3 linked regions of the Pelodiscus sinensis genome follow. The protein of the gene in region 1 interacts with the protein of each later gene in a pairwise test. Links are inferred from orthologs where the notes say so. Each region holds a gene or a part of one and is shown on either strand. Other genes may lie near its edges.

Region 1 (7,582 bases):
GCCATAAGCACATCAATTCTTTAGCACCAGAGGCTGTTGCTAATCCCCTCCTGGAGGAGCTAAATGGTCTCTTTGCTTTTAGCCAGCCCCAGATCTCTCTTACAGGGACTGGAAGAGGATGAGACCAGGAGAGGCTCTGCAGACGGTGTGAAGGGGGAAAACGGGACACCCAGGCCTCCCCTGACCTTCCCGCCCCCCCGGCACTAGCCCTCCTCACTCACTGCTGGAAGTGCCAGCTGCTGGTGTCTCCAGCCGGCCTGGGCCGTGAGTGCAGCGTAGTGGGTCCGCTGCTGAGCGCGTTCCCCGTCCCAGCGCCGCCTCCTCCCCCGCCTCCCCGCTTCATTCACCCCTCCGGCAGCCAGCCTGACCCAGCCCGTACTACACGGCGCAGCACGGGCCGGCCGGCGGCGCTCGGAGCCCGCACACACCCGGCGCCGCGCAAAACTCCAGCTGCTCTCGCTCGCCTGCGCGCCGGCTAATGCACCCGGGGCAGCCGCGGCCAGAGCCCGGCAGCAGCCGAGCGAGCCTGAAAACGCCACCTCTCCCCAACGCGCAAACACACGTCCGCTCTCCTCCCCGTTGCGCGGGGGGGAGGTGGGGGGAAGGAGGTTGACTGAAAGCAACCCAGACCCAGGGGCTACGGCTGTCTCCGTGCCTGTACCCCCTCCTTCCCCCTGCCTCCTTCCCCCCCTCCCCCCGGACATTGCTTGCATGCACGGAGTGCGATGCATTCCAGCCACCACCCCCCCCAATGTGCCTCCCCTCCCCCCAGGATCGCCAAGCCATTTTCTGGCCTCCAGGCTTCCCAGAGCTGGGGGGTCGGGCCGGGCTGCAGTAAGGGAGGCTGAAGCACCCTCTGTGGGGTGGCGAGTGCAGTCCACTCCCCCCCCCTGTTTCTCTCCAGCTGGAAAGCACCGGGGGGGGGGGGGGTTCCAATCGAAACGAGAGAAGCAAAAAAAAAAAAAAAAGCAGAGAAGGAATAAAAAGCCACTTACTGCCAAGTGTCAGGGGAGATGGGGGCAGAGCGGGACTCCACATACACACACACACACACAGTCTTGCTAGCTGATCACAAGGCGAGGGGGGGGATGTTGGTTTGTTTGGTTGCTTTTTCCCTCCTCCTTCCCCCTGCAGTGACACAGGTCCTGGATGTCTCCACCACTGCCTGTAGTAGAAATGATGTCTGCGGTGCAGCGCTCTCTCCCTCTTCTCTCCAGTATGTAAATGTGTAATAGAAGCCAAATATGGAGCAGTTGGCTGCCTCTGCAACAGCTCAAGGATCCTACTTCATGCAAAAGGGACGGGGGAAGGGAGGAGAAGAGGAGGAGGAGGCACGGCAACACTTTGGCAGGCGGCCAAGAGAGCCACACAGATTATTGCATACGCACCACAGAGCCGGGCCAAACCAGGCTTAACCCTTTACAGGGCTTCTTCCCAGTTTAGAGGAGACGGGGATGTGTGTGGAGGGAATTGCAGGGGGGTGAGGCTGCCCCCCCCACACACACACACACACTCTAAAGGCAACGTTTGCCTTCAAAAGCACAATTACAAAAAATACTCAGCAGCCTGTGGCTCAGGACCCCTAAGTGGACCGTGACCCTGGTTTAATGGGTCACCTGGGCTCAGATTATACTTCCTGAGGCCAGTGCTGAAGCACAAGCCACACTGCCCAAGGCTGAAGCCCTTTGGGCTGTGTCTTCCCTCCCCCAGCCCCCCGCACACATGCACACACCAGCCTGAGATGGTGGGACTCAGGCAGACCCATATGGACGATTGGTGGTGGCAGGCCCTTTGCTTTGAGGAGCCCCATGGCGGCCACCTCAACCATCCTATGGACAGGAGGGACCGGGGAGCCTTGTGCAGGGTGGGCAGCATGGGTCACCCCCTTCTCCCGCACTCATCGCAGCAGCAGGATTCAGAGCAGCCCAGCAGCCTGCTCTGCTCCACAAGGCTGCACTGTCCCAGCCAACTGTGCTCTGCTTTTCAGCAGCAGTACGAAGCAGACTGCCCTGGCCCTAGGGCACTCTGCTGCCCACTGCCGCAGAGAAGCAAAGCACAGCAGGCTGGGGGCGGAACAGGCTGCAGGGCCACTCTAGCTCCCACTTCCAGAATGAGTGGGGAGTGACTCCTGCTGCCACTCACGGGAGGGGACAAGTGTGTAGAGCAGGGGTTGGGCTCGTGGAATGGACAGGGTGGAGCCTGCAGCATAGGGGTTGCCCTGGGCTCCACACTTGGGGCAGTGGGGGAGGGATTGCCCCAGGCTCATGCCCCCCCCCTCCTCGTCCGGGACAGCCCTGGGCTCAGACTGTAGCATTGGTCCCCCTACTCAGACCAGCAGGGCTCAAGCAAGCTCAGGCTTTGGTTCCTGGAATGTGTACTAGTGCAATGAAGTTTGAAAACCCCTGTGCTACTCTAACGCCTCATGTCCATGGGGATCTCATAGCACTCTGTCAACAATAATGAAAGTGATCAAAGGAGAGCCTGCTGGAGATGCCTGCATGCTGTCCTTTGGAAGTGGCAGAGAGTGCTAATTTAAGGGACTGCTGAAGATCAGCCACTCAGTGAGGAGTTGAGGGGGTCATTTTCCTAATTAGTATTATTCCTCCAGGGACAAATCCTCAGTTCCTATTGGAGTTGCTTGGAAAAAGATGCCTACCACCTAAATCAAACCCCAAATGACTTTTACTCAGATCCCTTATTACACGGCAAGAACACAGGCAGATGTGGACTTTGTATAGCCAGATACTTTTAGGTGTTGACCACGTTCTGGACTCCCTAATACACACTATGCAGATTACACTTATCCTGAGGCTGAACCTCTTCCAACTATTCCCCCAAGTAAAGCAATTTACCACTTACCTCTCCATGAGGCTCCGGCCTCCACTTGTTCCACTGTTCTGTTCCCCTCAAGAAATGACACAGGCCTCAGCAGACCCATTACTATAAATCGCAAGCGGTGGGTGGGAGAATAATATGCTCAGAAGCAAGGAAGAACCCAAAAGCATGTCTTCTCTGTTAACTCCCTGGGCTGGATCACTCCTGTCTATGATTTCCAGAAGAAAACAGAAGAGAAAGAAACTTGTGACTTCAGTTGACAAAGAGGAACAGAATAGCAAAATTCAAAACTAAAAATATTCTTGAAGAAGTGACAAAATCAAGTTCCTTACCTCCTAGAACATTAGGACGCAAGGTGGGAGGAGGTATGAAGGCAGTGGGTCCTGAAAGAAACAATGTCTCTGTGCCTGAGCATCAGCACACATGAGGACATAGCATGAGAGCGTCTCTCTTAGCTGACACACTAGAGATTGAACCAGGGAACCTTCAGAACTAAAGGCATAAGCTGATACAGCTTGAGATAAAGCTCTGTGTTTGAGGATATAAAGACACATGCCTTTCTAAATACAAACAAGCTAGGCAGTTGCCTAGAGTGACAGATTTTGGCCTGTCTGTCCCCTCCAGTCATGATGCTGGGGTAATTGGGCCAAGCCTGAGAGGCACCATGACCCTGTGTGCCAGGTCACTATGCCACTTGCTCAGATTTGGCCCAGCTGCTCCTTCATCATGATGGAGGGGTAGCTGGGCCAAATGTGACTGATGTGTAAGGTGACACACTGACATGTTGCTTAGGATGGAAGAACAACCTTGGACACTTCACCTCTGGATCAGCACAAAGGGAGACTAGGAACAAAGTTATCAATATCAGACAGGTAGATTAACTAGTGTTGGTCTGTATCTGAAAAAACAACAAGGAATTCTCTGGCACCTTAAAGACTAACATTCATCTGGACATAAGATTACTTGTCAGAGGCATACTTACCAGTGTGTTTCAATGCCAGGGTTGCAACATACCCTCACAATGCACAAGCAGTTTCTGATGAAAAACAAAACCATTCAAAGTGGGCAATGGGACAAACCAAAAATGTGATCAGGTATAAATTTCTCCTGTATACTATGAACATTATGCATATGCTGCAGGGTGCTGTGCTGGGCCTTGTGGGATAGGTGCAATAATCCACAGGCCATGCAATGCTTGTAAGGAGTGCTGTGCATGGTCCCAGAGTAGTGTTTGTACCCAGAATGGGATGACTACTGGTGACACTCTGCAACTTGCACCAGTTCACTTACATCTGGACAAGTTATAATATGGCACTTCTCTAGTGTAGACACGCACCAGTGGCTACATGTAAAAAAATGCATGACTCTAAACTGTCAGTTTCTGTTGATGGGTCTGCAAGGTAATTCCTTATACAAAGAAATATGCGGTATATTTGTAACATAATAGCTGAAAAGATTATAATAAAAATATTCAAAGAGGCAATGGTTTTGATCAATAGGCAATAGAATAGTGTATACCATATAAAATAGATTTACAAGGCATAAGGATCCTTTATTATTACAATGACTGAAACTTTAGTTAAGAGTCCATATGTAACCTGATGACATTTTCTGTTTAATGAGATCTTTGGGGAAAAGAAACAGCAACAGGCCAAGACATTTGGACAGACATGCAACTCAGCACCTCAAAGCAGTGAATCTGCAACAGCAGCAGCAGAGCAGACAGCAACATCATCCTCACCCTGTTAATGCAAGATTCATTGATTGAATCAAAGGCAGGGAGGGAGAGAGACTGTGGATTACTGAAAATCAAGTGAAAGCATTAGTCAATTCTTAAAGTGATCTGGAAAAGTGTAGTGTGGGGGGGAAAGGTATATTATAATCTGGGAGAAGCAGCTTTGGGGGGGCAGTGGTTAAAATGCCCCCCACAGTGATCTGGCTTGATTAAAACAATTTTTTTTATTGACTGGGTCTGCAATCCCTTGCAATCCTTCATCCCATAAACACACTTTAAAGCACTGCCTCTAATGATATTTCAGCCCCTTCAGCTGGACACAGTTTTGAATGTGCTGTATTCTCCCGCTCCCGCTACCTTTTTCATTTCTCTAGTTCAGGGTGTTACTTCAGCAGAAAGGAATCTCTCATTCTAATATGTTCACCTTGCCAATAGGTGTGGCACACGCAGATAAAAAGTAGCCACATTCAAGCTGAAGCAAACTCAGAGCAACCTCCTCCTTTGCAGCAGATGAATGTGAGTCCGGTGTACACCTCTATTCTTTAGCTGCACAGTTTGCTGCAGAAACGCCAGGACCGGCCCACAACATTTTGGCAACTGAGGCGGGGAGCTCAAATGATGGCCCCATGCCCTCTTGCTTGGGCCAAAACTTTGAAAGTTCTCAATTCTGCCTTCTTCCTGTTTTACTCCTCTCATGATACTGCACAGAGAATACATATGCACCAGCAGCAGACACAATTTTCTACACTCTGAGTCCTAGGGTATGTCTAGACTACACCCTTCTGTCGCCAGAGGGATGTAAATTAGACATGCCAACATTGCAAATGAAGCGGGGATTTAAATCTCCCATGCTTCATTTGAATAAAAATGGCCACCGCGTTTTGCCAACTCAGCAATTTGTCAGCAAAAAGCATCTGTCAAAACGGGGATCGGGCAACAAAGAAAGCCTTTGTCGGCCAATCCCTTATGCCTCCTAAAATTAGGTTTACAGCATTGGCCGACAAAGGCTTTCTTTATCACCCGATCCCCATCTTGACAGCCGCTTTTTGCCGACAAACTGTTGACTCGGCAAAATGCAGTGGCCATTTTTATTCAAATGAAGCACGGGAAACTTAAATCCCCGCTTCATTTGCAATGTTGGCATGTCTAATTTACATCCCTCTGTCGACAGAGGGATGTAGTCTAGACATACTCCTAGTGTTGCCCCCCGCCTCCCTACAGTTTGACACCTGAGGCTGCCGCCTCAGTTTGCCTCATGGTAAGATCAGTCTTGAGAAACTCTGCTGCAGAATTGTGACTCCAGCTCTTAAATCTCTCAGTATATTTCTAGACCTCATGACTAACGCATAAATTGATGCAGTGTTGTCTTCCTAAGTCTGCAGACAACCTTAAAGCAGCTTTTGGGAAGTGCCACAAATCGAAACTGCTAGGTAGCAGTAATTCCAACAGCTCCTTACCTAGCTGCTGCTCTTTCATCATATTCTGAGAAATTCTCTAGGGCAGTTATAAGCTGTCATCACAAAAACCTTTAGCATACAAAAACCCCAAAATAGGAAGATTGCTTAAAGTAAACTGAATTTAATATTAAAATAAGCTATTGCACTAATTGCATTGTTAATTTTGATATTTGATGTATTACACAGCTACATTAAAAAAAAAAGCTGCAGCAGAATTTCCAGCCTCCACAGCAACCAGGAACGTTGCCACAAAGCACATGTCCAAGTTACCACGAAGTACAAGAACCCTTAATTAATGCAGAAGAGCTGGGAGACAGGGACATAATGTGACCTTTCCAAACAACTGGCACAAAAGGCCGGATTAATCCTTCAATCTTTATTCAGGCAAAATGCCCTATCGACTTCAGCTGGGAGTTTTGATAGAGTAAGAAGTGCAGACCTCAACCTCAAGGGAGGCAGAGTCATTTGCTTCAGAAAGTGAATGTTAACTACTCCAGGATGAAGACTTAGGGTTTGCTTCTCTGGCTCTTTGGAACTTTCTATAGTTAGTACTTCAGAGGAGTAGCCGAGTTGGTCTTTAACAGGAATAACTTTAAAAACAACAAATAGACTAGTCACTAGTAGCACCTTAAAGACTAACAAAACATGTAGATGGTATCATGAGCTTTCATGGGCACAATCCACTTCTTCAGATGACAGGAGTATTAGTAGTCCAGATCCAAGAATAGAATTAATGGACACAAATCAGATATCCAAAAAGGCAATACACAAAAACCTGTTGGAGGACACTTTAATCTACCTGGCCACTCATTAATGGATCTCCAAGTCACCGTTTTATTTCAGGCCAGTTCCACAAGCCAAATACACAGGGAAGGATTGGAACTTAACTTCATTTACAAGTTTAATTCTTATGCCAATGGTATAAGGACATCAGCTGGCTCGCACACTATCTTCCACATCCTATGACTTAACCTAACAACGAAACAACGGAGGTGCTAATTGTTCTTATCAGCCTATTGTAACTATTTGAACCATCTACTCACTGTCTCTTTTTAAATTTTTTTTCTCCTTCTCCTCCCTTCTTCCCCCCCTCCACTCCCGTTCCCTTTATTCTTGAATCTGGACTTCTAATACTCCTGCCATCTGAAGAAGTGGGTTGTGCCCACAAAAGCGCATGATACCATCTACATGTTTTGTTAGTCTTTAAGGTGCTAGTAGCGTATTTGTTGTTTTTTAAGTTATTATAGTCAGTACAACAGACAGAGCTTTGTCTGTGCAGAAGACAGAGATTTCTCAGAAGCTGGTCCAAGACTTTGGAATTATTTCTCCCAAGACCTAAGGGCCACCACAAGCCTCAACACCCTCCACTTCAAGTTCCAGGCACACTTCCTTGACCTTGCCTCTCTTACATAAGCACAGTAGTAGGTGAGTGTGTGTTTATATATGACAGATGTTAGGCAAATTGCTTAATGCACTACTACTAGAAGGTGTTCAGATACCAAAGGAATGAGCACAATATATAAACTTCTATAGACCAGAACAGGCTACATCTGAA
Region 2 (8,001 bases), on another chromosome or scaffold:
TGTTTTAAAGCTAATAAAAATCTTTTTGTGACCAAACTGCTTGTTAACAGTAGTGGAAGATCTAGCTTTTTAATCTGAAAATGCATGAATAGCTGTAAAAATATGCTCTCTTTCAGGTTTGGGCACTTGTTCTGTGTTGGGAGACACTGTCAAAAATTAAACTATGTGCTCTTCTTTTCAAAACTTATAGAACTCCCTGTGGTAAGAGGTAGGAAAAAAAGGAATTTCATTTATTTCTCACTGAAGTTTTATGTGATCACATTTACACAGCAGTTAATTTTCAATTGATTTTTAAGAGATGGAACTTAATACAAACCTAACAAAACCAAGTTTGTACTTATATGATTTTATCATTTGGGAGTAATAATACCTAGCTTTTACATAACACTTTTCATTATATCTTCTCTCAAACTGCTATGTAAAAGGAAAATATATTTTCAGTCCTTGGAAAAAATATTTATATGGCACAGATAGATCTAGTTAAGGTTCTAAATCCTTTTATTTCCACAAGCAACTTGAGGCTCATAACCTAGTATTCAAAATTCACTGAAGGACTAAACTTTGCACAATGTCTCAGCCTAAGAGACAATTTTGTTCACAATGTTTGAAGGAAATGGATTTGACCTCTTTTAAAGTAAAATTCAAATTATGTATCCTTCTTCATTCAGTATTCTTAAAGTTCTTTACAAACATTAACTTGTTTATGACTTTTCCAGGGTCATATCAAATCATAAGCAGAACAAGAAAAAAATTAGGAGTCCAGGCTTTTACTCTTACATGAATTCTAAAGAGGGGGAGGGGGAAATAATTCTGACCACTTCCAAGCCAATTTTATTTTTAACTATCAATCTGTTTTGCTTTTAAGTTTGTGCTTTCAACATATGGTTTCCTCCAGCCTAAAACCTTCTGATGAAGCATCCCTCTATACCAAGAGCTTCTCAGGCCTACCTAGTTCAATACATATTATTTCAGAGCCTATGAAGCTCAGTAATAAAAACTAGCCTGACATTTGTGTTTGTCCAGAACTCTGAACATTTAAAACTAGCCTAAGGACTGTTATAATGTTCTCAATAAGGCTGCATGCTTCTTGGGGGGGAGAGTGGGGAAGAGAGAAGAGTGCCAGACTGAGAGTCTTGCACACTGATCCCAGTGAAAATGGCCATCCCTGATAAATCCATTCATATACAGAACCCAATGAGTGTCTTTTACTGCGAGCTAAATACCAATGGAACCAATATTTGACAGTTAGCCTTACCAACATGCATTTGGCACCATAGACCTCTCTCACCTCTTAATCTGGCAACAGGATACACCAAAGCATTCTGAAATAAGACTGCAAGGCCTTCTTTGTGACAGTCCTTCATTGTAAGACCACACTACACAAGTGTCTTCACAGGGACCCAGAGATGTCTCAAGAGAACACTGCCCTTTTGGGATCTGATTTACAAATAACACATTCTGTTTCCACGCATGTGGTGTTTCAGCCTCTGACGCTTGTCACAACATGCTTCCTCCAGAACTAGTAGCTTCCATGGCTTGCACAGACAAGTGGTCCCATCCAGTTGTGTGTGTGGGAGTCACTTATCTCACCTATACCTTTGTGTTTAGTCTCAGGCTACGTCTACACTGGCAGGTTCTTGTGCAAGAACAGCCGTTCTTGTGCAAGAATCTGCAGAGCGAACACACTGCCCACCCTCTCTTGCGGAAGATTTACAGTACGGCATGGTAAGAGAGGGCTTCTTGCGCACGAGCTACGCTATTTTTTAACAGGTGTAAGCCCTCTTGCGCAAGAGGGCAGTGTGGATACTCGGCAGGGGTTTCTTGTGCAAGAAAGTCCTATGGCTAAAATGGTCATCAGAGCTTTCTTGCGCAAGCGAGCCTCTACACTGCCATGGGCGCTCTTGTGCAAAAGCACAGCTTGCACATGGCACTGTGGACGTTTTCTTGCGCAAGAAGCCGCCAGTGTAGACATAGCCTCAGGGTATAGCATGGTATGGAGGAAGCTGGGGAAGTAGGGACAAAAGATAAGTGAAAAGGTACAATAAGAAGCAACTTGGGATGTGGCAGCCTCTCTCAAGCTGAGGCAGCAGCTCAGCCGCAGCGTAGGCGCACGCATCCCTTCCAGAGGGGGGAACCACAGGAAAAGGTCCTTCCATGTCTCTCGCAGCCCCAAGACTGTGCTCCTCTGCACAGCTCCCCACCAAGCTACGTGGGGACAGAGAGAACCTGATCACGTCAGGGCTGCATCCCAGACATTCAGTGAGCAGCCCTGCCCCATTCCAACAGGCCTCCATACCAACCACCCACCAATGGCGCTTGGCCTCCACCCACCCCATTTCCCCCCATTCTTCCTCCTGCACCATACACTGTGACCAACAGCCCTCACCTCCCCCAAACCCACAGTCCCCCTCCATGCACCAACCCCTCCCAGGCCACCCTACATCCCTCTGAACCCTCAATCTCCCTCCACGGACCCGACCCCTCCCAGCCCCCCAAACCTCCTCCATGTACCCTGACCCCTCCAACTCCCCCCCACAGCCTCCCTTCATGCACCCAATCCCACTGGGCTCCCCCTCCGATCCCCCAAACCCTCAGAGCCCCTCCATGCACCCCAACCCAACTCCCCCTTCAGCCCTCCAAACCCTCAGCCTTCCTCCGCACACCCGACCCCACCCAGCTCCCCAAATCCTCAGTCCCTCTCTGTGCACCCCTGACCCTGCTGAGCTTCCCCTAAACCCCCCCCAAAACCCTGTCCCCCTCCCATGCACCTGGACCCCACTCAGCTCCGCTAGTCCCCCAAACTCAGCCCCCTTCTGTGCACCCCAGCCCCACCCAGCTCCCCAAAACCTCAGACCCCCTCCGTGCACCCAACTCCACCGAGCTCCCCGTATTCCCCCAAACTCTGTCCCCCTCCGTGAACCCTAACCCCACTCAGCTCCCTTACAGTCCCCCAAACTCTGTCCACCTCCATGCACCCCAGCCCCACCCAGATCCCCTACAGCTCCCGAATACCTCAGACCCCCTCCGTACACCCGACCCCACTGAGCTCTCCCTACAGCCCCGCAAACCATCCGCCTTCATGCACCCCAACCCCACTCATCTCCCCCTACAGCCCTCTAACCCCGTCTGCCTTTGTGCACCCCAACTCCACCCAGCTCCTCTACAGCACCCCAAACCCTGTCCCCTCCATGCATCCCAACCCCACCCTGCTCCCCTACAGCCCTGTACCCTCGGTGCACCCAAAACACAACCAGCTCCCCTACAGTCCCCCAAAACCTCAAACCCCCTCTGTACACCTGACCCCAGAGCTCACCCTACAGCCCCCCCAAACCCTGTCCCCTCTGTGCACCCCAACCCCACCCTTTCCTACAGCCCCCCAAAACCTCAGCCCTCTCCATGCACCCCAACCCCACCCTGCTCCGTCCCCCAAAACCTCAGCCCCCTCCATGCACCCTAACCCCACTGAGCTCCCCCTACAGCCCCCCAAACCTCAACCCCCTCCATGCACCCCAACCCCACCCAGCTCCTCCTACAGCCCCCTCCATGCACCCCAACCCCACCTAGCTCCGCCTACAGCCCCCCAAAACCTCAACCCCCTCCATGCACCCCAACCCCACCCAGCTCCTCCTACAGCCCCCTCCATGCACCACAACCCCACCCAGCTCCCCTACAGCCCCCCAAAACCTCAACCCCACCTAGCTCCACCTACAGCCTCCCAAAACCTCAACCCCCTCCATGCACCCCAATCCCACCCTGCTCCCCTACAGCCCCCATGCACCCCAACCCCCCGAGCCCCCCAAAACCTCAGCCCCCTCCATGCACCCCAACCCCCCAAAACCTCAGCCCCCTCCACGCACCCCAACCCCCCAAAACCTCAGCCCCCTCCACGCACCCCAACCCCCGTGAGCCCCCCACCTCAGTCCCCTCCATGCACCCTAACCCCCCGAGCTCCCCAACCTTAGCCCCCTCCATGCACCCCAACCCCCCGAGCCCCCCCAAAACCTCAGCCCCCTCCATGCACCCCAACCCCCCGAGCCCCCCAAAACCTCAGCCCCCTCCATGCACCCCAACCCCCCCAAAACCTCAGCCCCCTCCATGCACCCCAACCCCCCCAAAACCTCAGCCCCCTCCACGCACCCCAACCCCCCTGAGCCCCCCCCAACCTTAGCCCCCTCCATGCACCCCAACCCCCCCAACCTCAGCCCCCTCCACGCACCCCAACCCCCCGAGCCCCCCCCAACCTCAGCCCCCTCCACGCACCCCAACCCCCCGAGCCCCCCCCAACCTCAGCCCCCTCCACGCACCCCAACCCCCCGAGCCCCCCCCAACCTCAGCCCCCTCCACGCACCCCAACCCCCCGAGCCCCCCCAACCTCAGCCCCCTCCACGCACCCCAACCCCCCGAGCCCCCCAACCTCAGCCCCCCCACGCACCCCAACCCCCCTGAGCCCCCCCAACCTCAGCCCCCCCACGCACCCCAACCCCCCAGAGCCCCCCCCAACCTCAGCCCCCCCCCCACGCACCCCAACCCCCCAGAGCCCGCCCCACCGCCCCGTCCGCGCACCCCCGACCCCACCCTCAGTCCCACGTGCCGCCCTCGGCCCCGCGGCCCCTCCCCCCGGCGGCCCGCGCGCCATTTCTCTCCCCGCCGCCCCTCAGGGCGCCGCGCCCCTCCCCCTCGGGCCCGGCCGCTGCCCCAGGGCGCCGCCCCCCGGCGCGGGGCGAACGTGGCGGGAAAGCGCTGCGCCCCCATCCCACCGCGGAGCCGCCGCCGCTCCTGCCCCATCAGCCACCAGCAGCGACTGAGCCTCCGCTCGCGCTCGGGCTGTCCCCTGGCCGGCTCCGCCGCTCGCCCATTGGCTCCCGCCGCGCTGTGCCCGCCCCATTGGCTCCAGCCGCCAGCTGCCGCGTCGCGGTTGGCCGAGCCCACTGTCAATCGCGGCGGAGGCCCCGGGAGTGCCCGCCTCCGCTGTTATCAGGTTAGTGTTAGCCGCGGTGCTGGGGCTCGGGATTCCAAGCGGAGCTGGTTGAGCTCTCAAAGTCCCTCACCGCGCTGGCTTTGGGGGGGTCTTCAGTGGTGTCAATACAAAAGAGGAGCTGAGCAAAGCGAGAGACTCCTGCTAACCAGGGACATGGACATGAAGAAAAGGATCCACTTAGAGCTGCGGAACAGGACGCCCTCAGATGTAAGCAATGCAAAAAAAAAATCCATCCCACATTTTGGGGGGTGCATTAAAATGATTAGAAAATGTAGGGGTGCAGCTGGAATAGGGAACGCCCGTGCCAGCGGCTGCTCAAGCCGCTGTTGTCCTTGAGGTGCCTACCGGTGTGTGGATGTCTCCGTGCACCTAAATTGGGGTGCCCAAAGGCGCACGCGTTATGGTCTAGGGGAAAACTAAGCTGCTCCCGAGTCTGCTGGTGTGAAATGCATTCAAGGAGCTTGCAAGGCATTAAATGAAAATAAGTTGGTGGCTCTCGCTGGCTGGTTTTGTTGGCAAATATTTGCACGGAGTGTTGGGCAGGGAGGGAGCGTGAGGGAGTTGAAAATGGTTTAGTTTAAAGTGCGTCTTCATTTCTTTGCAGTGATCAGGCAAGAGAGACTGGGGAGCCATATTTGTAACTTTGTAGTCCTCATGAACGCGCCCTTTCTCTCTCTCCCTCTCTCCAGATGCTGAGAAGACAAAAAATAGGATTTTTAAGCAAACCTTCAGTGGTTTTAAAAATCGGAGCCAGCTGACAATATCGCAAGCTTTTAATTTTTAAAAAATGCCCCAATAAATCCACTCTCCACCCTCTCTCCATCCACACACACACAAAAAGGCTGGATGTTTTTTTTTTTCCTTGGGGCTGGACTTAGGTTGTTGTTCAGCGTCTGACTGAATAAACGAGAACAAGAAAGTTTGTCAGGACAAAAATAGACCGTGGCTGGTTGGGCACAAATTATGCAGACAAGAGAAAACCTAGTTACCTCTCCTCCTTTTTCTGTTTGTCTCTTACTGTTACCGCAGCGATAGCAATCGAAAGGCGAGAGGGGTGGGGGTCACCCAACTTGGGCAGACCCCCTAACCTCTTGCCAAATGCACCCAAGGAGAAATTAAGGTTGCTTCTGTGTAGGGGTGGGTGTGGGTGTTCTCTTGCGATGGGAATTTGGTGTTTTGTGCTGCGCAAAGGTGACCGGAGGTCTCTCCTCCTTAATCATCGGTGCATGGGATCGTTGCAAGTGCCTTTTCCTACCTTGGGAAGTTTTAGTGCAATTAACACACAGTAAAAAGCCAGTCTCTGGGGGAAACCCTCCCCTCCAAAACAACCGATCCCACACATGTGGCCATGGATTTTTAGAAGCCAAGACCGAAGAGGGCATTATATAATGGCTTAAATACTAAGTTTATTTGCGGGGAAGGGGAGGTGTTCTCCGGCTCGGTTTCCCTCTTGCAGACCAGACAGCTTTGAAAGGCGCTGGACGTAGATAGGAGTGAATAAACACATACCTTTCCAGAAATCAAAAGTATCCCAGGGGGACAGGGGGAAAACTGCCCCGCACTTTTCCTGTCGCCAGTAAAATGTCTGACGGACAAAGCTGGGCGGATTTACGTAACCTTCGCTTTAAACTTTAAAAAGTATTGAGGGGGGAGGGAGGGAGTGTGTATGGAGCTGGCTAGTGGGTCAGACACCTTCCCTTGTATCTGAGCAGCAACACCTATTAATACAAAGTGCTGTGTGGTGTGTGTGTGTGTGTGCGCGTGTGTGTGCGTGCAGGTTGCTGCATGAGCGGGGCTGCTCGTGCTCCCTTGTGTTGCACCGCGTGTATGTGCCAGCTAGCTCAGTACAAGAGGGCTTGTTTGTGAGAGCCCTGCAAAGAGGACAAAGAGCAAACGGAGGAGCTTCCTAATGAGGGGCCTCTGTCCCTACATCTCTGCCGGGGAGCTGAAATATTCCTCCCTCCCTCCACCCCATGAAATCATTCCCAACTTTGTATCCTCGCGTTGGCAGCGCCACACTAAACCTGAAGTAGGACAAGACGCCATGTTTTTTCCATCGAGCTGCAAAGGAGAAAAAGGCTGGGGTATGAAACCAAGGCGATTTATGCTTTAGGATCCGTGCGAACACCCCAAAGGAGGGAATTCTTAAAGCCACCAGCGGTGCAGTTAGCAAACATTCCTTGTGAAATTCTGGAGGGACTTGAGGGGGGTTGCTTTAAATGGTAATGCGTGTTACAACCTAAAATGAGAAGCTTTCATAGGTCTGCAGTTTCCTATTAATGATTATTCGGTGGGGAGGAGAAATGCTTCGTGTTTTGTTCGAGGGCAGGTCGAAGAGGTGGAATGGTGGCGGTTAGGGCGGCTGACGGAAGCAATGAGGGCGCACGGAGGGCTCGCTCTGTGTGTGTGTAACATGACTGCCAGCATTCAGGTCTGCCATTTTGTCACTGTTTTGTCACAGAGGGGGGAGGGGAGAAGGTTGTTTTTAAAGAAGATAACAATCTTATAGTCCGATTCCCAGCCAGGCACGACTAACGGCGTGTTCGAACCCGAATCCTGCTGCAGTGGGGCTGATGTGGCCGGGGAGGGGTCTTCAGGGAGGGAGGCGGGCATGTATGGGTGCGTGTCTGTGCAAAGGGGAGTGCTCGCTTGTTCCCCTGCACAAACGGCTCTTGGGGAGCGCGGACTCGGGAGCCTGTATCTTTAAATGGAACCTTGGCGTCTCGAAATGGAACGTTGTGTTCGCGAGCGTTCCGCGGGGCGGTGACGAACGTTCGGGGGAGACTGGAAGGCCGGTCGCACGCTCGCCAGGAGCGCCTGGCTGCATCGCCCCGTTCCGCTCGGCGCCGGCGCGGGCTGGGCCTGGCGCCCAGCCTGGGCTTGTGCCTTGTCCCGTTTCCCACCCGAGCTGCTGCGCGGGAGCTGGAAGAAGCGAGCAGACCTAGCAGGTCGCATGCACAGTGGGTTCCGGATGGCGATACACTCACTGCCGGCTGCAGCCGCGATATGGATGAGTCGGGAAT
Region 3 (7,274 bases), about 1.9 Mb from region 1:
CATTTTCGCGATCGGGGCTTTTTTCCGGAAAAGACTACTGGGCTGTCTACACTGGCTCTTTTCCGGAACAGTGTTCCAGAATAAGGACTTATGCCCGAGCGGGAGCAGCATAGCTTTTCCAGAATAGCGGCTGATTTTGTACGGTAGAGCATTGTTGCTTTTCCGGAAATTCAAGGGCCAGTGTAGACAGCTCGCAGCTTATTCCGGAAAAGCAGCTGATTTTCCAGAATAAGTGGCCCAGTGTAGACACAGCCAGGGTGTGTCTAGACTACATCCCTATGTCAGCAGAGGGATGTAAATGAAGCACTTTGAAAGTGAAAATGAAGCGGGGATTTAAATATCCCGTGCTTCATTTGCATAATTACATAATGGCGCTCTTTCGAAAAAGGGCTCTTTCGAAATTGAAACCACAGTCTAGATATGATTTTCAAAAATGGGGCGCTGTTTCGAAAGATCCTGTAAACCTCAGATTTACAGCGCCCCGTTTTTGAAAGAACCGCGTCTTGACTGAGGTTTCAATTTCGAAATAGCGCTTTTTCAAAAGAGCGCCATTACGTGATTATGCAAATGAAGCATGGGATATTTAAATCTCTGCTTCATTTGCACTTTCGAAGTGCTTCATTTACATCCCTCTGCCGACAGAGGGCTGTAGTCTAGACGTAGCCAAAATGAGGTTTACAGGATCTTTCGAAAAAGTGCTCTGCTTTCGAAAGAACCGTGTCTAGACTGCGGTTTCAATTTCGAAATAGCACTTTTTTCCAAAAGAGCGCCATTACATAATTATACAAATGAAGCATGGGATATTTAAATCCCTGCTTCATTTACACTTTCAAAGTGCTTCATTTACATCCCTCTGCCAACAGAGGGATGTAGTCTAGACATGGCCTTACTGATTTAAGATATAATGGCATATCAGTTAATTATATTCTGGTTTATTCTATGCCTGCCTAGTGCATGTCTTTACTACAGACTTAAATCAAACTATGTTAGGTCAATTTACAGCCAATGCAGTAATTACTGTGGTGGCTGATGTCCACACTGACCTCCTTCTGTCAGTGGTGCACGTCCTGACCAGCAGCACTTCCACCAACTGAAGAGACTCTCAGCTCCATGCAGCTCTGCACAAGGAGCCCAGCTGCCTCCCTGGATTCCTAACCCCCCTGATTTCTGCTGGGAGTAAGGGGGCAGTCACACAAGCTTCTGGGCTTCTTGCCTCCGTGAATGGGGAGCTGGGTGGGTGCAGCCAACTGAGAGCCAGGGATAGCCAGGTTCTAGCTGCCTGCCTTCCTTATCAATTTCACATTCCTAACATGAAATTAACAAGGCACTTAATATCTGATGTAAGTAAAGCAGTGTCTACAGCGACACTGTGTCAACCTCACTCCACTGTCATAAGCAGTACACTTCTTGTAGAGTTGGAGTTATTACATAGGCATGGTAGGGCACTTACATCGGGCAGGACAAGGCTGACTGAGTTAGATTAATGGAATCTGCCTTAAATCGACTTAATTGTGTAGTCTAGATCAGGCCTAAGCCCCCCACTATCCAAGGAGTCTGTGCTTTTATATGTTTTGAGTGACTAAAGACTGTGAGAGAAATACAAATCTAAGCTTGATTAATGCATATGCCATGTTGCAGTGAACGATATAAGCAATATTAATATTTGCTGCCTAAGGTAGTTAAATTTGCCACAACACTCACCATATTTAATAAGAACTGCAGTAAAGTAAAATACTGTGGGCATGGTAAATGCTGATTTATTTAAAGTTTTATGTTATATCCTGGCCTCTCCCGTTTCTAAACTTTCCACATACTTTTCTGTGGTAGAATCAAGGTGCGTCTGTTTTAGGACTAGGACTTGTAGGTTCTAATGCAATATTAATAATAACAATTAGCAATTATAAAAGTACCTTTATACAGAATCACCTATTGTCAAATATGAATGTTTTATGCATAAATCTAGCGGGAAGTTATCAAAATTTTAAAAATTAGTCCCTTTTGAAAATGCAATAGAGAGTCAAAAGTAAAATATGCTTTAGTAGCCCTTCTCTCAACTCACCCATTTGAAGGGTGACTCTTATGTATGGGACTAATTTTAGATGCAGTTTTTAAAGTATTTTAGTTTTGTGAGAAGAAGTTTGCAGTGTGTTTCAGTGAGAGATTTAACATTTCACTGATTATTTTTTTGATATCTCCCTCATTCACAGGGCCAGAATAAGTTCCCAGATACTTGTTACTAAGAATATTCCATATCACTTTTCATCCTTATATTTCCAAGTGTTTCACATAAGTGGATATGCATATTTTTCTACTTTACTGTGGAAAAATCAGAGCAGAAAGAGAGGAAGTGACTTGCTCAAGGTCACACAGCATATCAACAATCAGAACCCAGATTTCCTAATTTTTTTCCAGCCATGTTACTATTCCCTGTTAGCTAGATGACTAAATCTAGTAGCCAGAGACAGATGTGAAAGGATCTCAACAGCAAGGGTCTAGAGGCAAATCCTTGCTAAGAAGCTCATTTAACTCCCTATCTCCTGGAAGTGTACTAGGATTCCTGTCATGGTGCTCTCCCTGAACACTGCTTGAAGAATTCATTTTAAAATTAGGATGTAGGTACCTAGTCCCACTGCAGCTTCTGAGTTCCAGAAGCAGTGATGGGCTAGAAGGTGGGATGTATGCTATTTTCATCTTCTCCTGTTTTGTGAATAGCTCCATTGCTTCTGCTGCTAGTGATTCAACAATCAGCAATCTGAAATTGATGCTGCTCTTGTAAGGCTTATGTCTATTTCCTGGATTTAAAGTAATAGTCTCCAATTTCATTATGCTGCTTGGGAAACCTGTGAGCATAGTAGAGACACTAGGAGCTGTCTGTCTACAGATTCTGGAATGTAGCACTTCATTGGTTCACATTTGAAAAATTACACTTGTGCCCAAAGGGTTAAAACAGTTTTTTCATAAACGTTAAAATTTCAGATACTGATGAGTTAGTGCCGGCTGTTACCAGGAAATCTCTGTATTCACTGTGGGTGAATGGGCTTTCCAAGAGCATCTCATTCAGACGACATAGGTTGACAGCACTGTTTCACCCACAGGCATAGGACTGGTCTACTCTGGGAACTTATATTGGCATCGCAATATATTTCAGGATTTCTCAACCCTGGGAAATGTAACTATACCAGCCTAGCCTAGTGCAGCCAGAATTAAGTTGCAGAAGAATTATGCCTCAGGAAGATGGATTTTTTTACACCCTTGAGATGAGGAAGGGGTTTGCCTGTCAGTGCAGGTAATGTCTACAGTGAAGCGCGACAGCATGTAGCTGCACAGCTCTTTAAGTATAAGAATAACTATACCTAAGTGATAGCATAACCTATGTGATGATCTTGCAAATATACTATAACCCCAAAACATCCAATGCCTTTGGGAAAAATGGGCATTGTATGTCACATATTACTGCCAGGGATGTGATATTATTATTTGTATTCCATTAGCACTTGAGAGTCCTAGAGAGGATGCCTGGTCTGATGGTTGGGGTGCTAGTCTGAGACTCATGAGACCTGGATTTAACTCCCAGGGTGTTGTTGGATAAGTCACTCTACCTCAGTTCTCCATTTGTAAAATGAGGATAATAATACTTTCCAGCTTTACACGGATGCTGTGAGGACAAATACTCTAAAAATGGCGAGGTGCTCATAAACTATGCTAATAGAGGCTATGTAAGTACCACAGAGGGAGAGCCCAGTCCTAGACCAAGATCTTGTGTTGATGACACTGTATAGATTTATAACAAAAAGTCAGCTCTTGCACTGGAAGGTTTACAGTCTAGGACAAGACACAACAGATGGATATAAATAGCTGAAGAAACACAAGTAAACAATGTAAGACTTAATGGGAGGTCATTTAATTAGATTTGTTCTGTTAAAAATGTGCTGGATCCTGATGTGATATAAAGTAAAATCTCATGTAAAATTCCCCTGGCAACAGAAACTTAAAAGGTCCAGTGCTTAGCATAATGTATTTTAAATTTTAAAAAGCTCTCTGGTTTTAAACAAAAGGGAAGGGTTTTGTTTCGGTTTGTTTTTAACCGGCGATGGCAACCCCCCTCCTTTTGCTTCCCTGTAACAAGAGAAGGAGGAATCCCTCACCGCGGATCTTCCCCATTCAAAATGACCCACAGGCAAAATCTATATAAACAGCTGATGGAGTAAACCAATCAGCGCAGTACAGCTAGAACAGCAAAACCCTAGGCAAGGGCCAAAAAAGGGGAGCAGCAGTAGAGAGCACTAGGCACCTCCTCCTTGTATTTCCTCTCACGCCCACATCCAGCAGTGGAGGTTTTTTACTTTCGGCTTTTGTCTCTTTATTTTAAAAGTTAACTGGGAAAGAATGTGCAAAGAGTGCGGGCATTGGGTGAGTTTCTTCTTTTAATCTCGTTGGGGGGAAATTGTATGGGAAGGGTTGGATGGTGGGGTGTCCTCGGTATGGGGAGGTTTTATCGGTATGTTGCAATAGGAAGGAGGAGGGGATTAGGCGTAGCTGCTAGGGAACGGGAAACCCCAGAGAGAGAGAGAGAGGAGAAAGAGGACGCAGCATGTGTGACCTGCCAGTGGCAGCAAGGAGGAACCTCCGGGATCTCCGCGTCAGCAGCAGCCCCAGTTATGTGCATACATGGGAGTGTGTGCGCGTATGTTTTGTGTGTCTTCTCTGTGCTGGCGGGATGGGCCGCTATAGGGGGGAGTGCGACACGCACCTGCGTGCCCACGGCATTGCATTGTTGGGGTGGGAGAGAGAATGCAAATGGATTTGTAATAATTTTTCTTTAGGCTCTTAATCAACTCCTGTCTGGGCATGTCTCCTCCGAGGAAAAACAGAGTTTTCTTTAATAAGACTTTAACAGTTTGTGGCTGCTGCTGGGATTAATCGTTGGGATTAACTGCTTCATGACTGAAAATGTCTCCAGTTCTGCCCACTGACCAAATAAGATGTCCGGTCCCACACACCGATACAGGTTAGCCTGGTGCCGCACCATCTCACGTGTTCTAACATAGTGTGGCATGGTGCAACATCAGCTCAGGCTCTCCCCAAAGTCTGACAACACTGTTGTGAAGTCTGGCACAAATAAATTGATGTGTGGGACACAAAGCTGCATGGCGCCGCTGTCGTGCTGGTCAGTCTGCTTGTGATGTTAATATGACTTTAGCTGACATGGCACTTTACAGCCGGACCCAGTACTGTGCAGACTACCCTGGGGCACAGGCTAACGCGACATCTGCCCTGGTGTGACAGGGCATGGCCAGGCCCAGCGTGGCATTGTGCCATCTGGCACGAAGTCACTTTTGCTGAGTGGGCATGGGGGAGGGCACTGGGGAGAGGGAATTCTTACTGGCTGGGGGATTTTATGTGATTAAGTTTTTTTCAACGTGAGCCAGGGCGCGTGTCTAGTTTCACTTCTGTCCCTTCCCACCAGCCTGTGAGGAAACCCCCTCAGTGACCCCTCCCCCCTCCCATGCAGGCAGGGAAGAAGGCGGGGCCGGGAGACCCGGTGACGTCACTGGACCGGGCCGCTTCCTGCAATAGAAAGTGAGAGAAGGTAAAACACCCCCCCTCCCCCTCCCCCGCCCCAGCCCCGGAGCCGCCGCCACCGCCGCGCGCGCCTCCCCTCGCGCTGCCCAGCTGCTGCGCCCCGTGAGTGACCGGCCGGGCAGGGAGCCCCCAATGGCTGCGCCGCCCGCGGCCCGGCCCAGTTGGCCTGAACCGCCCCCCCCACCCCATGCCCAGCCGGGCCCGCCCGCTGCCCCCTGCCTGCAGCCCGCCCCAAGGGCGCCTCCCCCCCCGCAGCCCGGCCCTTGCCCGGGTCACGGGCGGCTCTGCCCAGCCCGCCCTGTGCATGGAGCATCACCCGCTGCTGCCTGCGCGCCGGGGCGGGACTAGTGTCAGACAGACCGAGCGAGCGACAGACATTGCCCGGGGGGAGGGGGCGCCCTGCTGGGGGCTGGGTGGCTGCGGGGGGCGCCGTGCGGGCGGGGCGCGGCTGCTGGAGCGGTGGGTGTCTGGACGGGCGGGAGTCTCGTCTGGGGGAAGGGGTGTGTGTTGGGGGGCTGCCCGGATGCTGGGGCGGTGCATGTGAGCGGGGTAGGGCGGGGGTGGGGGGCGTTTTGCACGGCGGCTGAGGCGGGGGAGGAGGCCAGCCCCGGGTTGTGTTTGTCCGGGGTTGTCAAGTGAAGGAGGCTCCCAGGCGCCGTGTTTCCTAGCGGCTGCCGCCGCCATCAGCAGGGCCGACTCCAGCCCCCTCACCCTCCCCCCCGCCCGGAGCAGCCTGGCCGCGGGGGACCCGGGTGTAGCCCCAGAGCGGGTCCCGGGGAGCCGCCCCCTGAGCCGCGGCGGCGCCCAAGCACGCCACGGTAGGGAGATGGGGGCGGGCGGGAGGGAGGGACCAGTAGGCCTGGCTCCAGCTGCCGTCGTCCCCCACCCCCATTTCACTGCCGGGGGGCTGCGGTTTGTGTGAAACCCGCCTTTACTCCTGTTCCAGCCGCGCGTGTCTGTTTCCTAGCCGGGGAGCGTGAGGCGCCCCCAGGCAGGCTGGGCTGTGGCAAGGAGTAGGCAGGCATCCCGGTGATTTCCCCCTCCCCCAGCCCTTCCCATTTGTCCCCCACCCCATGCATCTCTTCCCCGGGTCAGTCCCGGTTTGCAGTCCCTCCCCCCCCAGCTTGTGGATGGACGTGTGCAGCGCTTTGTTCGGTGCGGCCGTGTTGCAGAGGGGTTTTCCCAGGCTCCTCCCTCTTTATTCATTCATGTTTTTCCCCTTTGCAACTTGTGTTCGCACTCTACCATTTAGTGCCTCTCTCTGTCTGTGGGTTTTTAAATCTTTCTTCTATGTTTTTAAATCCTAGCCTCTAATCTGCTTTGCTGGTGATCACAATATAGGCTTGTTTTAGGGCTGATATTTCAAACTGAGGAGGGAAAACGAAATTTCAAATGTTTTTAAACGATTTTTACCACTTCCATCTGATTTCCCATCCCCAGCAAAATAAAAATCTTATTATCTTATTGCTGGTGGGCAACTGAAGTATGCTGTTTTAATAAATATGTAACGTTATTTGTGTTGCTACTAAACACTAGGACATCTAAAAGCATATATTCAAAGAGGTGTCCCAATTTTGAAACGTACTTGCATGCTGAACCTCTAACACTTACGGGAAATGTATTTTTTTTACACATTTAAACTCCAGTGAGAGCTTAATTATTATCATCCCATGTTCAGAGATGCTCAACGC

What was found.
Region 2: the proteins of ATXN1 (region 1) and ANP32A interact in binary tests that used the Homo sapiens proteins (3 or more experiments, as listed by UniProt). The link is inferred for Pelodiscus sinensis from reciprocal best matches to the Homo sapiens genes ATXN1 and ANP32A.
Region 3: the proteins of ATXN1 (region 1) and HIVEP1 interact in binary tests that used the Homo sapiens proteins (3 or more experiments, as listed by UniProt). The link is inferred for Pelodiscus sinensis from reciprocal best matches to the Homo sapiens genes ATXN1 and HIVEP1.

What each region holds. Positions count from the first base shown.
Region 1 is NC_134712.1:107,835,964-107,843,545, forward strand, and holds the start of ATXN1 (ataxin-1), read right to left. Parts: upstream 3,017-7,582; 5' UTR 2,860-3,016; intron 1,318-2,859; exon of another isoform or gene 996-1,317; intron 676-995; exon of another isoform or gene 429-675; intron 371-428; exon of another isoform or gene 222-370; intron 1-221. UniProt on the Homo sapiens protein: Chromatin-binding factor that repress Notch signaling in the absence of Notch intracellular domain by acting as a CBF1 corepressor. Binds to the HEY promoter and might assist, along with NCOR2, RBPJ-mediated repression. Binds RNA in vitro.
Region 2 is NC_134724.1:2,514,138-2,522,138, forward strand, and holds the start of ANP32A (acidic leucine-rich nuclear phosphoprotein 32 family member A), read left to right. Parts: upstream 1-4,984; 5' UTR 4,985-5,131; coding exon 5,132-5,185; intron 5,186-7,182; exon of another isoform or gene 7,183-7,197; coding exon of another isoform or gene 7,198-7,200; intron 7,201-7,291; exon of another isoform or gene 7,292-7,391; coding exon of another isoform or gene 7,392-7,409; intron 7,410-7,855; exon of another isoform or gene 7,856-8,001. UniProt on the Homo sapiens protein: Multifunctional protein that is involved in the regulation of many processes including tumor suppression, apoptosis, cell cycle progression or transcription. Promotes apoptosis by favouring the activation of caspase-9/CASP9 and allowing apoptosome formation.
Region 3 is NC_134712.1:109,735,571-109,742,844, reverse strand, and holds the start of HIVEP1 (zinc finger protein 40), read left to right. Parts: upstream 1-4,257; 5' UTR 4,258-4,410; intron 4,411-4,563; exon of another isoform or gene 4,564-4,684; intron 4,685-4,710; exon of another isoform or gene 4,711-5,590; intron 5,591-6,038; exon of another isoform or gene 6,039-6,401; intron 6,402-7,274.